2 linked regions of the Lytechinus pictus genome follow. The protein of the gene in region 1 purifies or fractionates together with the protein of each later gene. This does not show direct contact. Links are inferred from orthologs where the notes say so. Each region holds a gene or a part of one and is shown in the gene's direction. Other genes may lie near its edges.

Region 1 (7,954 bases):
CTTAAATTTGTTAATGAAAAAAAAAATGATGAGAGCTCGATGTCCGAAGCTAAAATATATTTTGTATTTTGACTTCAAAATTTGCTCCATATCAGCCTATTGAGCAAGATATGAATTTCATCGAACAGGCAATTCTGGCGCGAAGCGCAAGCAAAAGTTTTATATAGTAACATGAAAGATTTGTGTTTTTTTTGCAAGTCTTCCCTTCACATTATTTCATTCACTCGTCTTCCTCCTCTTATTTTCCTCTTCTTTTTTTCTTCTGTCTTTCTTCTTCTTTTCCTTTTTTTTTCTTCTTTCTCCTTTTTTTTTGCTCTGCCAATTTTTTTCAGGGGGGGGGGCACTTGGGGGGGGCACACCAAATCTCAGGGGGGGGGGGCACGTGCCCCCCAGGCCCCCCCCCCCGTAGCTACGCCACTGATTCAGACTAGAAAAAGGGACGTTTTAAGAATTGTTTTTTTTAGGAATTCATGAAGAGCTAACATATCTCACCAATCCACTAACGCGAACGTTAGTGGAATTTTTTTATATTCAGACCTTAAAAGGGTGCAATCACTTTAGGTAATCATGAAAAAGAAGCATAATGTTATGCCACTACGTAAAACAATAATAACTGGAACTATAGGCCTATTTGGTGTATATATTGACTTGACCGGGATGTTTTAGTACAACAGGAATTAAACAGACAATGCGAGCACCAGGAATGATGAACACATAGGCCCTAAGCAAATTATGTTTCATAAAGTTATGAAAAATATTCTTATGTAATATAATACAATGTAATAAATATATTATAACATAGTATAATATAATATACAATAATTTCTTCATCCCCCACAACTATAGTTGTCTCTCACTAAAACATACGTTTTTCTTTTTTTTCTCCCTCTTTTTCTTCTTTTACCCGTTTTTTTTTTGGGGGGGCCAGCTGATTGGGGGGGAGGGCACGTGCCCCCATGCCCCCCCGTAGTTACGCCACTGATTATGGCAATACATACATTGAAATTAGGTTCAAATGAAAACATGAGGAAAAAAATGTACGGGGGTCCTATAACCCCCCTCCCCCACCGGAAACTGATCAGTGTAACAATATATAAATGATCTAAATACACTTTAAGAAAATTTATGAGTCATATGATATTTTATGATATATCTTTTAGCTTACGTTAAAAGAATAAAACGAAGAACATTCTTTTATTTTATGAGGCAATGAGTGCCAAACATTGGGTCCTCTATGTCAAATGGATTTATAAGCAAGTACTGTTTTGGGATTACTAAGGTAAAAATTGTTGGAATCTTCGGTATTGTGGTCATGAAGCTAGGCATTGCGTATTGAATAGTGAAATTGCGTGGAACCAAGTGATTAGTATATTGAACATAAAGTTGATGTAAGATAAAAGAGCAATGTATATAAAATTGCCTTGGTCAAGGGAATCGAACCCGAAACTTCCGTGGTGTATTCGGGCGCATCTTTAGACCACTTGGCCACCGCACCTCTCCGTGATTCTGTTTGATTGGTTTAATCTTTAAAGGAGAATGAAACTCTTGGAGCAAGTTAGCTTTTGTGAAAGCAGAAAAATAAAAGAATAAGATCAACAAAACTTTGAGTAAAATAGGACTAGCAATAAAAGAGTTATGAGCATTTGAATGTCGAGATCACTAATGCTATGGAGATCCTCCCATTGGCAATGCGACCAAGATCTGTGATGTCACACACGTACAACTCTCCCATTCGGACACTGAAAATATACCCCAAAACATTTCTTTTTGCTCATTCTAATCATATGACAAACGATTCATCAATGATAATGTTGTGAAACCTCTGTACTTTTCATCTCATAAAGAAAACACCTAACATTGTGATAGACTCTATAAAAGTGAGAATATAAGTGAAATAAGTACTAAAGTAATGAGGGAGTTGTACGTGTGTGATATCACAGATCTTGGTCGCATTGCCGATGGGAGGATCTACATGGCACTAGTGATCTCAATATTCAAATGCTCATAACTTTCTTATTATTCATTCAATCTTCCTCAAACTTTCAACAATATGTTTCTTTTATTTTTCTCTTTGATATGGATTCAGCTAGTTTCAAGGGTTTCGTTCTCCTTTAATAGTTAGCTGCTCTGGATTTCACTTAATGGTAGTAATGACTCCCCCCCCCCCCCCCTGGTATTGACCGATAATGCGTTTCGGGATGGGTTAAAAAATCAGTGATCGCCGACGGGTGTATAATCCGTCATAAGGTTAACCCATGGGAGGGGGGGGGGGGTTAGTATACCAAAATCTTGTTTGATTGGAGCAAGGGTCATGCATCCCTAAATCCGTAGCCTATAATCTAGGAGGAGGCTGCAGTTATTGTCTTTGCTGTTATGCTGAATGTAAGCGATACGTCTGATCTTGCGAAGACTACGCATTTGTGGCTGCGACGGTCAATGCAATGCGTAGTCTTTTCCAGATCAGACGTATCGCTTGCGTTCAGCTTAACAGCAAAGACAATAACTGCAGCCTCCGCCTAGGTTATAGGCTACTAAATCCGCCACTGGTTTCACTTTCTCATCAAGATTAGAAATACAATTTCTAATTACAGATAAAGTATCATGTCAAAAACATTTGTTTCTTGTTATTCAAACAAAAGAATTCATTCCATTTTGGTAGTCCTCTGATAAGGTATCCACTCAAATTGTTGTATAATAATGTTTGTGATCGCATTCCATCAATTCCGAAAATAAGGACACAGTTAACGTGGCTTTCACTCGGACATCATTAAGATCTAAGCATGTTTTTGTATTTACATATTAAAAATCTACGTCAATAAACTTGAATTCAAAAAAATATTTTCTCTTTCCACTCGCCCTTGGAAATTAAATCAACGCTACTGGCTTATACAGTGCGTATAAAAAAAAAGTTTACACTTTGAAAATGACCTGGGAATTAAAAAATATACAACATGTGGGTAATTTTTTCACATATAATCTTGGGCTTGGGTCTTATCTATCCGATGAAAGTAAAGGTTTTGACAGAATGTTACACTTAAGTGAGCACTGTCGATTTTTGTAAAGCTCGCAGAAATCTGTTTGCGCAGAAATGCTTGTTTTCACGCTGTGTCAAGGTTTCCGGGCGAAATCAAACTTACCCTGCGACACATTTCTCATACATTTCCACTTTTAGTGAATTGCAATAAAACGGATACATTCAAGAATTTTGTAACAATATTGCCACCCAAATTGAAATTTCAACACTTAGTAAGCACAACCTTTACCCCTTTTGTGCCAGCTGGATCTGAGGACATAACTGAATCTGAACAAAGTTTATATCAGACATCTCCAGCATTTTTTTTTACTTAAGTTTGTATCATTTAAAGTGGGTTACATTTCATTTTTTTCATTAAATACTTGTTTCTCCACACTTTTCCCAAGCTTGACAATGATTAACAAAATGAAAATCAAGCCTTAGCCATTTCATGAAAAAGAATAAATGCAATCAATCAATCAATCAATCATGTAAATTACAGCTCAGTGTAAAGCAAATATCGTCACAATGACCTCGGAGTGTGGGGGAGTGGGATGGGGCGCGATACACTCTTCGAAGTGTTTTGGGCAAGGAAACAAGTTTGAAAAGCTAAAATATATCTTCAAATCAATTTTACTTGCTAAATTCCACGTGTTCTTCATGATTAAGGTCTACTTTTATTCGCATAACTATTTCAAAGTTCTGCGCAAATCATGTTTCACTAACTTTTCAAAAGTAAGTGGTGCTCACTCAAGCGGAAATATTTTTCAACAGTTATATCGTCATTTCCTTAAATGGATCTGTACCAATGTTAAAATGAGGAAAAATCTTCAGGATATTACAAATGTATAATTTTACAGGATTTTTTCTAAGTGTAAACTTTTTTTTGGATACGCACTGTATAGCAGAGATCGTCCTTTATGATGGGGATGACGTTTGAGTGTCGTACAAAATTCTGATAGATTGGTTTAATCTCAAATCTTTCATAGTTAGCTGCTCCGGTTTTCAATTAATGATAGTAATGACCCTCCCCCCCCCATTGGCGCACACTGTGGGGGGGGGGGGGGGCTTGGGGCTCCGTCTTTCAATTTTTCACCTCCAAGGGGGGGGGGGGGGGCTAAGGAAAGAGAGAAGGGTAAAATGTGATATTATATTTTGAAAATTATGTCAAATCAATCACAAAATCAGATTTTTGGAATAAAAATGTCGAAAATATTAGCTCACTATCTTCCCTTTCTCGCAACTTTTTTATGAATTTTGCCGCATAATCCATATCTTGCCCCTCAAAAGTTTGGTTTATTACGCCACTGACCCCCCCCCAAAAAAAAAAAAAAAAAAAAAAAATCAGTGATCCATATCTTATAGAGGAATAAAATAGGGACAATAATCAGGAAACAGATCATATAGGCCTATTAACATAAAGTGATGAGTGTCCATTTTTCTTCTCCCTAATTTGAATAGCCTCTTACCATATTATTTCCTAATGAAAGCAGAGTTAATGGGCAATCAAAGTTTCAAATAAAACTTCAAAGGATCGAAATTTGAGACGCCTTGATCAATTGATTGCCGGGAGCAGGGCAGTCCAAACGGTTTATATTCATCAACTTGGTCTAAACGCAGGGATGTAGCCACAGAGGGAGCAGGGGTGATCGGCACCTATGATTTTTGAAGTATTTAAAATGAGGGACTGACGAAAAAGGGGAAGGGAAATATAGGGATCGAAGAGTATGAAAAGGAGAGGCTTGGGTCGTGTTACGTTATAATAACCATATAATTCAATGGAGAAAATGTTGGCGTCCCATATAAGTCGTCTTGCCCTCCCCCGACCACCCCTCCCCATCCCATCAAGGTGCCCTCTGTGCCGCCCCCGTGGTCTTTCCTCTGAACATAGGCTCTCCAAAATTTTGTTAAAGAGCGCCATCTCTCGATAATTTTCGGTGATTGAAATGTACACATGTGTGTGTCATGCTATGCCTAGTATGGTGTCATGTCACAAGAACTTCGAGCAGTCTGGAAGTAAATTATCTGCAAGACAACCATAAAAGAACGGCAATTCGTGCACCATTTTTTGCCAACTTAGGATAAGAGTAAGAGGAAGAAAGAAAATTTGTTATTTTATACGGTAAGCGAAGAATAGTGCGTAGAGAATTGATCATAATTGTCCTGTGGGCATCATTTGCCGAGGAGCGCGATCGCGCGGTTTCTGTGTGGGAAATGGATGTGGAATGAATGAATGAATGAATGGCCATGCATGGGGGTTAATCAGCGGCAATGTTCACTGGAGGTGAAGATCTGTACTATTGGCACTATATGGTGCAACACCATGCACTATCTTTGTGTGTAGACTAGACATAAATCTAGTCCAGTTTTTAGCCAGTAAAAGGCAGTATGATTCTTGACGTTCCGCATTGTTTATTGAAGAAATTTATAGGCATGCTAGCCTAGGGCCGGGGGGTGGGAATTGTTATGAAAGTGTTTTTAATATTTTAGGGATTAACGTTAGGCCTAGATCTACGCCCTTTTTTAATTTGCTGATATTTTTTTAGTTTCAAAAATTGTTTTGGCATAGATTGCGTATGGCTACGACGTAGATCTTTATCAATATTTGAAATAAAAAAGTATACTCTAAAATCTAAATCAAATTTAGATGACTAGGTCTAATTCTAAAAAAAATTAACCTAGAAGTAGAATCAAGGTGTCTCTTGCAGTTGTACGAAGCCGAGTCCCTGTATCATGAGTCTCCGTTTGTTGTATGACCCAGTGGCGTAACAGGCGGGGGGGCAAGCTGCCCCCCCTGGCGAATTTCACCGGGAAAAATTAAAAAAAACGGGAAAAAGAAAAAAGGGAGGGAGAAAGAAAGGGAAACGGGGAAAAGGAAAGGAGGAGAAGGAAAGGGAAATGGAAAAGAAAACGAAGATAAATATATATTTTTTTAACAGAATAGGAAGGAAGGACAGCGGGAAAAGGAACGAAAGAAGAACATTTGAGAAAGGATAAATCATTCCGAAATAGGCCTATGTAATGCAATAGTGTGATGGGAAATTAATTAAAAGATGACAAATGACAAACAATAGCGGGAAATGAAGTTAGAAGGGAATTAGTCAAAAGCTGAAGGTGGAAAACGAAGAAAAGGGACAAGAAAAACAAAACACTTAATAACACGACCGGGCTGCCGATGATTGAAAATGAAGAGCGGGAAGAAAGATGGACTGCATACAACATTGCGCTGTAAGCTTGCTAAATTTTATTCAAATAAGGTACCGGGGCTTTGCCCCGACCCCACGCAGTAGGGGCTCTTCATCTATAACCTTCAAATGGCTCTATATAACTTCCCCCTGTAGGGACCCTTCTTACATTAAGCTTTACGTTCAATGAATGGCGTACAGGCCCGGGGGGTCTTGGTTCCAAACCCAAAGGAAATAAAAGAAATTAAAGGAGACAACGTATAATGAAACAAATGGAAACAATGAAATTTGTTATTTACTGAATGAAAAAAAATCTATATATCACATAATTAGAATTTAAGTTCAGTAGGCAATCTTTTTTTCCAGCTTGCTTACCTCGCTGGCGACTTTTATTAAAATAATATTCCCACATTGCCCCCCCCCCCTCAAAATATTTGGTTCATTACGCAACTGGGCTGAATAAATGTGTTGTGTAAAAGCTATATTCTGTATATACCCGCGATATTTGATTAAAAATAGCAGCAATCTGCGAGGTTTAAATGGCTTTGATATCAAGAAGTTCGGGGGCTCCGCCCCCGACCCCAATCGCATAGCACTTCGTATATGAGTATGGTAGGGTTGGGCCATGGCCCCAAAAAGTTCTACAACCAAGAACAAAAAACAAGGAGGAAAGGAAGGCAAAGGAAAAGTGTAGGATATAATTTTTTTACTGAATATTATGTAAAAATATATCTCAAAGTTAAATTCTCATTAAAAGGTGATTTTTTTTCTCGCTCGCTTCGCTCGCTCGGGACTTATATTAAGCAGCTTTTTTTAACACATGCGCCATACTGCGCCCCTCATTTGTTTGTTTTTTATACTCATCACGTTACTGCCGCAAAGAATCCTGTTCATAGTGGCGTACAGACCACGAAAACAAGGAATGGAAAGAGAGAAAGGTGATATATATGATTCTCTGCATATCAAAAAAATTGAATTTTTGGATTAAAAATGTCAAAATTTGTGCTCGCTCGCTTCGCTCGCTCGCAATTTTTTTTAAAAAGATCAATTCTGCTGATACGCAATAGGCCTATCTGGCCCTCTAAAAATTGTTGCCTCATTTCTCCATTACGCCTGTTCATACCATGATTATGACCGGGAAATTTTTGGCTCTTGCCCCCCCTGGCCACCGACCCCTGTTACGCCGCTGGTATGACCGGATGGGTTGTTTTCTCTGGTCAAGGCGGCAATTTCATTAACATTTTGGTCAATTTTTCATTAATCAATTGAATGTAATGTCACACAATATTACAAAGCAGAAATGTTCATAATGATTTTTTATATAGAATGCATAAATTTTGAGAAAAACAAAGAGCAAGAAGTTTGAGTTTTTATTTGCTTAAAAATCCAAACATCAGATCCCTTTGATTGAATAACACTTCTGCAGAGTTGCAGAGTGAATTAAGAGCTGGGAACAAAATGTCAGGGTATTGTAGTCTTCACTTTTCATTAATTTTTCAATTTCATGATTTATGAATATTTTCTTTTTTCTTTGTTCTGGAAACGGCAAAAGGAAATGTGGTGAAGGCCCAAATTACAAGTTACGTTGGAGTACATGATACTAGATCCTTGATTGGGATTGAAATTCATTTAGGATTGTGAGGGGCAGGGGCTGAATGAAAGGGAGATGAGAGTAAAAAAAAATCTGCTTTGAAAATATACCACCTTTTTTTTCTTGGCCTGTGTGGTCATCAGATTGCAATAAGCCAGTTCACGG
Region 2 (7,269 bases), on another chromosome or scaffold:
ATTTAAGTTGAAGTGGCCGATACCTTGTTTGTTGTAAATTCTTTCCATTTCTCGAGTACCTTCTAAACCTTTTAAATATTGTGATACCTTCAAAAAAAATAGAGAAATTGCTTACCCAGTGTCGAATATGAAGCAGAATCACATTTCAAACCACAACAAAATATCACGAGGATGAGTTCCTTATTGGACATGCCCTATTTGTAAATATTATGACTCCTATGTCCAGCTCCTTACCAATCTTTCTAAAGAACAGGGCCAGCAGAACTGGCAACTCAGCCTACACGACTTGTATATTGCTTTTTCCAAACTTGCTCACATCCCCTCAAATCGTGGTTTTAATAAAAATCAGCGTACGCGATTCTCATGAATATCCTCGTGTCTCTGCAATAAGCCAAGAGATCAAACCCAACAATTCATTTTCTAAGCAACGACAAAGGAGATTAACATCTACTTACATCAGACTTAATAAACACTCCGATCCATCTGATTTCACGTTCCAAATAGCAAGCCAAAAAATAACATTTAATCTTCTACAAGCGATCTTGAAATTCGAGCAAAGAATTAACTTGGTGGAATCGTACACGGATATTATTCGATATGGCCGCGTTGATGTTTTGTTTGGATAATGTTTCGTGTAGTTAATTGCTTCCCATGTCAATTTCCAAAGACCACAAAAACGAAGGCGTTCTTATTTCTCCAAGCATGCCAAGTGCGCAAAACCGGTGAGCCCTCAGTCACACCCCACGAGACATGCCCAATGATAGGAGTATCGATATGATTTCTATATGATGGCCAAAATGCAATCGTTTGCAGGTTTGGTGTGTAAGTGTGACTGAGGCAATAATGGTATCATTCGTGTAATCAACACGAGACATGAAGGTTCAAAGTTTGTTTAATAGCTAATAGGTTTTTTAATTATATGGCACTCCGACATTAGTCTGCTGTGCAAACCCTTCACTCGAGTAAAGGGTCTGGATTGCAGCCTACTCGTGCCTTAATAAATTGTGTACTTCGAAACAGCAAGTTTTGTACATGTATGTGCTATAGTCTTTGAGTGGAGACACACTTGTTGATCAAAGTTTCAATCAGGGTCTGTGCCTGCAGGTTACTCCGACATCATGTTGTTATCTATATCCTTACACATGGTTCTCTTCATTACTTCTCTTGTTCTTTTCTTGTCTTGTTTTCCATATCTTTCGTCTTAATTATTTAGAATATAAGGCCTATATACACACTAAGATTTTGTTTAACCCTATAAATGAAACACTTGAACCAACCTCCTATAGGGTGTACCCTTGCGCCCTAACTGTGGAAAAAGGTGCAAAATGCACTTTTTTATTATTACTTGCACCCAGGATAATAAAATGATTCAAATTTGAACCTTTATTGCAAGGTTTAACACTGCACCCAATCATGCCTATTAGATATAGGGTGTAATATGCTGCACAGATTCGAGCATAATTGCACCCATTAGTAATGACTAGATAGACGGGCCGTGTCCTTGGATTTTGTTTTTTAATTAAACATTTTATGAGGCAACGGCGGAAATCCAAAGGGGGACATGATTCTTCTCATTACTTTTCTTGTTCTTTGTTCCTTTGGTAATAAAGGTTCAAATTTGAATCATTTTAATATGCACCTGCATTATATGGGTGCGGGGTGCAGCTGCTATACTAATCCCTATATAGGAATCAAATTTGAAACCCTATTTCTTAGTGTTTAGCTTTTAATTTCAAGAATTCACACACAAAAAATCCAAATAGATCTGTTTATACTGTACCCCACATCTTCGGGTAAATCGCACATTTAAATAAAAACAACTAGGGGTCCACTAAAAGGTAAATCTTGTTTAAAAAGAAAAACGGGCGCCCTTAATTATTGTAAACAAGCCATATGTTTTAAATGCATAATGAAGGCCGAAACAATAATAAAACAATAATCAAAATTAATATTTGTATATTAATAAAAATATAATATTATAAAAAAAAATCCTGGCACCTCCGCTGGTTGTTATTTTTCTATGCAATGTTGATCGATGATCACTCGATTTCAGTCGACCTTTTTTTAATGATTTACGTATTTCATTTTTTTAATCGAACCAAGTTACAATATTTAAAGGTTTGTATAGTTTATGTACACATAAAGCACAAATTAGACAGCTTCAGTACAAAATATAGGCCTATCGTGACAAGATGTAACAAAAGAATGTTTGTACATGAGAAATGCCGTTTATCCGTATTCTTGTTACGGAATTGTTGTTGTTTTTGTTCATCTGGTCATTCTCATTTTCTCCAAAGTTTTCAATTTTGGGGTTCTTTTGTTGTATTTTTTTTGCTCATGTTGATATCTCTCTTATCATTCTTATCATTTCTTGTTTTAGTATTATTTTAAGACTTCCTACCTCATATCAATGCCCTCTCCCTCTCCCATTCTCCATATATTTGTAGCCTCCTAGGCACTGGTGACGTCAAACAAATAATAATAATAATAATAATAACAATAGCCCTATATCTTTATATCCTTTTCGTACGTTATCGATCTGTCCGTCCGTATGCATAAAATCATCTACCTCTAGGCTCCACCCTTTCTGGGGCCCGCTGCAGAAAGAGTTGCAATCAATCGTTACTCTAAAAATCATGCGCAATTTGATTTTCAACCATTCAACAGCGCGCATTTGGGACTTGCGATTAATTTTTTGATTTGCGTTTAAATGCAACTCTTTCTGCAACAGACTCCTGTTCCCCTTTTCTATCATGAATAACTGAGAATGTAGTGGCGCACAAATGGGGGAGGGGGGCTTGGAGCACCCCCCAAAAAAAGAGAGAGAGAGAGAGAGAGAGAAAGAAAAGGAAAAATAGAAGGTCGAAATGTAATATTATTCTCTGATTATTATTTTAAAATCTATCACAAAATTTGATATTTATAATAAAAATTTCTAAATTTTTACTCACTCGCTTCGCTCTCTGACAACTTTTTGTCAGACACGCCATGCTCCCCTCAAAATTCTTTGGCTGAGATGTGCTTACAGATACGAAAAAACACCTCCCGTATCCCTTGACGCTAAACAAATAAAGAAACAATTTGGATTGAGGGAATGATTTGAAGGACGTTGTAGGAATCTAACAAAATGTGAGAATAAGCTAGTGCTTTGGGCTATTATTATTAGCAGCCAGTTTTCAATATCTCCTCATTTTAATGACCTACTTAGGATAATCAGATTGAGATAATTATGTGAACATAATAGCTAGAGTAGCTAGGCCCTACTTCTATAAGAACGATCGGAACAGACTGAGGGTTGTGGAATCCTGTGGAATGAGCGTCTTTGCGGTATTGATTATGTTGGCTGCAAAGATGATGTCTATAATACCTATAATAGGAGGGCACTCTCAGTCACAACCCGTCGTGCCCCTCTGTGCATGTGATCTGATTCAGCTCGCGCTTCGCGCTCGCTGTATTGGTTTATAGGCATCACGTGCATTTTCCGGTCTGAATGTAAAAAAAAAAATCAGCTCTCATTATTACCCTGTTTATTATTCCTACAAAACAATCTTTCCATTTCCCATTTTCAGGTAAAATGTTTAATTAAAAATTTATATCGCTCACGTCGCGCTTCGCATTAGCATTAGAAACTTATGATTGACGGAGGGGTGATCGCGGCTTGTGATGAATTTATTATTATTATTTTGACTTTTAATGCACAAAACAAATTGTTCAACTATTCATCGCACTAACAGAGGGCAAAATGCTGTATTATAATTGCCTTTCAAAGTTTGGGGCATAATTTTCTCCCCATGCACTTTGCCCCCTAGCCCATCAACGCCCGGCCCGCTGCCAGCGCTTATTCATTGTCCCCGAGTCAGAGATATCAGAGATGTTTACATATATATATATATATATATATATATATATATATATATATATATATCAGATGTCGCGGAACCGGGGTTAATGGGGTGGGGCTTCAGCCCTGATTGTGTTTTTTTTTGCATGCTGCACAGCCTTATATAGCTCCCCCCACAAACACACACACTTTAATAACCATACCGCCAAAACATATCATATTTTTTATGCTCCCTTCATTTTCTTCGCTTTTTTGTTATGTTTGTAATTAACCTGAGGAACCGGGGGGGGGGGGGGGGATTCGCCCCGCGTCCCCAGAGCGCCGCCCGGCCTACATATAATACACGCAGCGCCAATTTCAACCCACGTGGTTTGTGTACTATGCACGTAATTCCCGGAAGAAGACCTCGATCATTGCATGCTGCATGCTGCCACAACAACACCACGCATCGTCTCATTCATTTCTCAGACGATACAACGTAGACGCAGCTTGAAATGGCTCAATTTCAAGAGGATAACGATTCAATGTGTGATGACAGTGACATTTTCGATAATGTCGTAATGGCAGAAAATAGGTTTGTTGAATTCCATGACGTTTTATTGCGATGTTATAGTTAAAAATTGTTATTATTACTGTGTTTTCCCTGTGACTTTGTATTTGTCCCACATATTCAATTCTGTGTAGGCTCTCATTTTAGTCATTCATTATTTTTTGTTTGTATTTGACTTTGCATGCGATCTCTCTTCTTCTGTATCTGTAACGTTATGATTATCATGAATGTATTTTATATGTGCACTTGCATTTGATAGCCTCCATACAGGCTGCCATGCTGGCCAATCCTGCTTTTTTTGTTTTGCCAGCTCCAGCCAGTTTGCCAATGCCAGTGAAAAAAAAAACGGAATGCAGCTGCAGATGAGTGGACTAGAAAAATTACTAGACTAGACTAGAGATTGAGATAAATGCAAAGCTCGAAGACCACGTGTGTAACACAGGTGGGGGGCACTCTGCCCCTCCTGGCGGAGCTCACCAGGATAATTAACAAAATGGGGGAACCGGGAAGGGGAGAAAGAAAGGGAAAGGGAATTTAAGAAAAAAAGTAAAAGAAAAGGGAAAGATCGAAAATGAAGAGTAAATACTAAAATAGGTAAATCGGAAGGAAGGTGGAAAAGCATGAAAAGGAAGTAATAAAGAACATGTGAGAAAGAAGAAATCATCCTGAAATACTATTAAATGAGTGAGAAAAGAGATGACAAAATGGAATGGGAATTCATGGTGGGAAAGGGAGAGAAAAGGGAAAAAGAAACGAGGGAAATAAGGTAGAATAGAATGAGCTAAGTAAAATGCTTGGGGGAAAGCTGAATTGAAAACAGATAAAGAAGAATACAAGAGCACGTCCGGGCTGCCAAGGATTAAAAATGAAGACCGGGAAGAAAGAATGGGATGGGGGATGACCACATATCACATCCACGTGTGTATTGCAATCGGGACAATAAATCACTGAACTTCAAGAGGTTCCTTAGTTGCTGTCCAAGCATTGCCTATGTCAATGTCCCTAGCCAAGGGCTAGACATGCCCCTTTTAATTTCATTTAATAACTTAGAATTTTATTTCCACAAGGCCAAAATTTTCTTGCTCGCTCGTGACTTTTTAGAAAATTTCCCATGTTGTGCTCCCTCAGAGTGTTTGGTTAATAAGCCTGTTCATGGTTGTAAACTGCGCACGAGCAGAAAAAGGTCATTGGAGACAACCATGAAGGTGGCTTTCAAATTCACTGACAGGCATTTGTGATTTGATGATGATTCATGTATTCCTTTCAAAAAATTTATCATATCCAAGCTGAAGAGTAATAAATAGAGCTTTCATAATCACTGGTATTTGACAGTAGCCTAAACAATAGTCAAATGTGCCAAAGGCAGACAATAAAACAGATTTCCAAACTTTATCCCTGATGTACTATTCTAGTCACTTGGTCTATACAATGCCTTTTGTTCATAGAATTTGAATACTCTACAGGTAAAGCTTACGCAACATCTCCATTTGAAAATGATAGTGCTTATCCTAATGAAAAATCACAAAGGTCATTAGAGAAAAGTTGATCATGAGCTAACCGTGAACTGGCTTATTACGCCTCTGCATTGAAGTATTGTGTTTTGTATCACCCCTATCCATGATTTCATTGAAAAATGCGGCCATCTTTAAAGTTTAAAATGGCTTAATCTCGAGAGGTTCCGGGGCTCCTCCCCAGACCCCACTCACATGGCACTGGCTTACAAATGGAAGGGTTGGGACTTATGGAGCATGGCCCCAAAAGTTTCACGACCAGCTTTTTTCCAGACAAAAAAATAAATGTAAGATATGTTATTTTCTGAATGTCACATTGTCAAAATCAAGTATGAAAAGGTAAAAAAAAATTCTCACTCACTTTGCTCGGAACTTCTATTTTTAAACATTATGCTACTCCCACATAGAGCTTCGTGCCAATGCTTGTGCATGATAAAAAAATCCTGTTCACATCACAATATGACCGGGAAATTTTTGGCTCTTGCTTCAACAATGCAAAGTTATACAAGATATATATATTTAGATGGACGTTGAAAATTAACATTGAAAAAAATAGACAAATAGGCCTAGATATTCAACAAAGACTGAAACAAATTTCTAATTTCTTTGCAAAAGGAAATTTTAGAAGGAAAAATACTGCAAAAAACCTTAACATGTAGAATCATGGGTAGGTTAAACTAGTAGATTCTGCATATTTTGACAAAGCAATTTTGTAATTTGATTTTACTTTGCAAAATACTAACGTTAACGATGACTATTTCAGCATCCTGACTTTGCCTTTGTTTTGTCAAGGAAACGTTTTGCAATGTTGATTGGATCTAGAGGTTAGACTCGGCCAGACAATTGAAACAGTGCACCTCATGCATGGTTTCAATGCATGGTTTCAATTGTCTGGTCAGCAATTGTGTCTGACTACGGCCATTCGCCTCCCTCCCCCATCTCAGTATACTTATCGCTCAGCTGGACAATCAAATCGCAATTCAACACGGTTTAAATTGTCCGACCAGTCTGCGGTCGTGTCTGGCATGGGCATGCCCCCACTCCGATGTTACCATGTCCATGGTCGCCACCAAGTCTTTAGTTTAGGCCTATGACAAATTCTATATTGCAGATGATGAGATGAGCACTCTCTTGAAGCATATTGATTTACCGAGTTACCCTTCCTATCTTTAACTTCTAAAATTAAGCAATTCTGAGAGACACATAATACCATCTCTATGCGTGTACTGAGCCACCATGCATGGTGGCTCAGTGGTAGAGCGCCTGCTTCATGAACAAGATGTCATGGGTTTCGAACCCCGGCCGAGTCAAACCAAAGACTTTAAAAATAGGACCTTCCCCTTTCTTGTTAGCTCGCTCCAAGTTTG

The links. Proteins that work in one complex are often made in the same cells at the same time.
Region 2: the proteins of ATP-binding cassette sub-family E member 1-like (region 1) and protein LTO1 homolog purify together in Homo sapiens (affinity purification with mass spectrometry; 4 studies listed by BioGRID and IntAct, with this or other methods). This does not show direct contact. The link is inferred for Lytechinus pictus from reciprocal best matches to the Homo sapiens genes ABCE1 and LTO1.

What each region holds. Positions count from the first base shown.
Region 1 is NW_026974140.1:13,119,943-13,127,896, reverse strand, and holds the start of ATP-binding cassette sub-family E member 1-like, read left to right. Parts: upstream 1-4,942; 5' UTR 4,943-5,135; intron 5,136-7,954. UniProt on the Homo sapiens protein: Nucleoside-triphosphatase (NTPase) involved in ribosome recycling by mediating ribosome disassembly. Able to hydrolyze ATP, GTP, UTP and CTP. Splits ribosomes into free 60S subunits and tRNA- and mRNA-bound 40S subunits.
Region 2 is NC_087263.1:4,631,381-4,638,649, reverse strand, and holds the start of protein LTO1 homolog, read left to right. Parts: upstream 1-4,253; 5' UTR 4,254-4,335; coding exon 4,336-4,415; intron 4,416-7,269. UniProt on the Homo sapiens protein: The complex LTO1:YAE1 functions as a target specific adapter that probably recruits apo-ABCE1 to the cytosolic iron-sulfur protein assembly (CIA) complex machinery. May be required for biogenesis of the large ribosomal subunit and initiation of translation.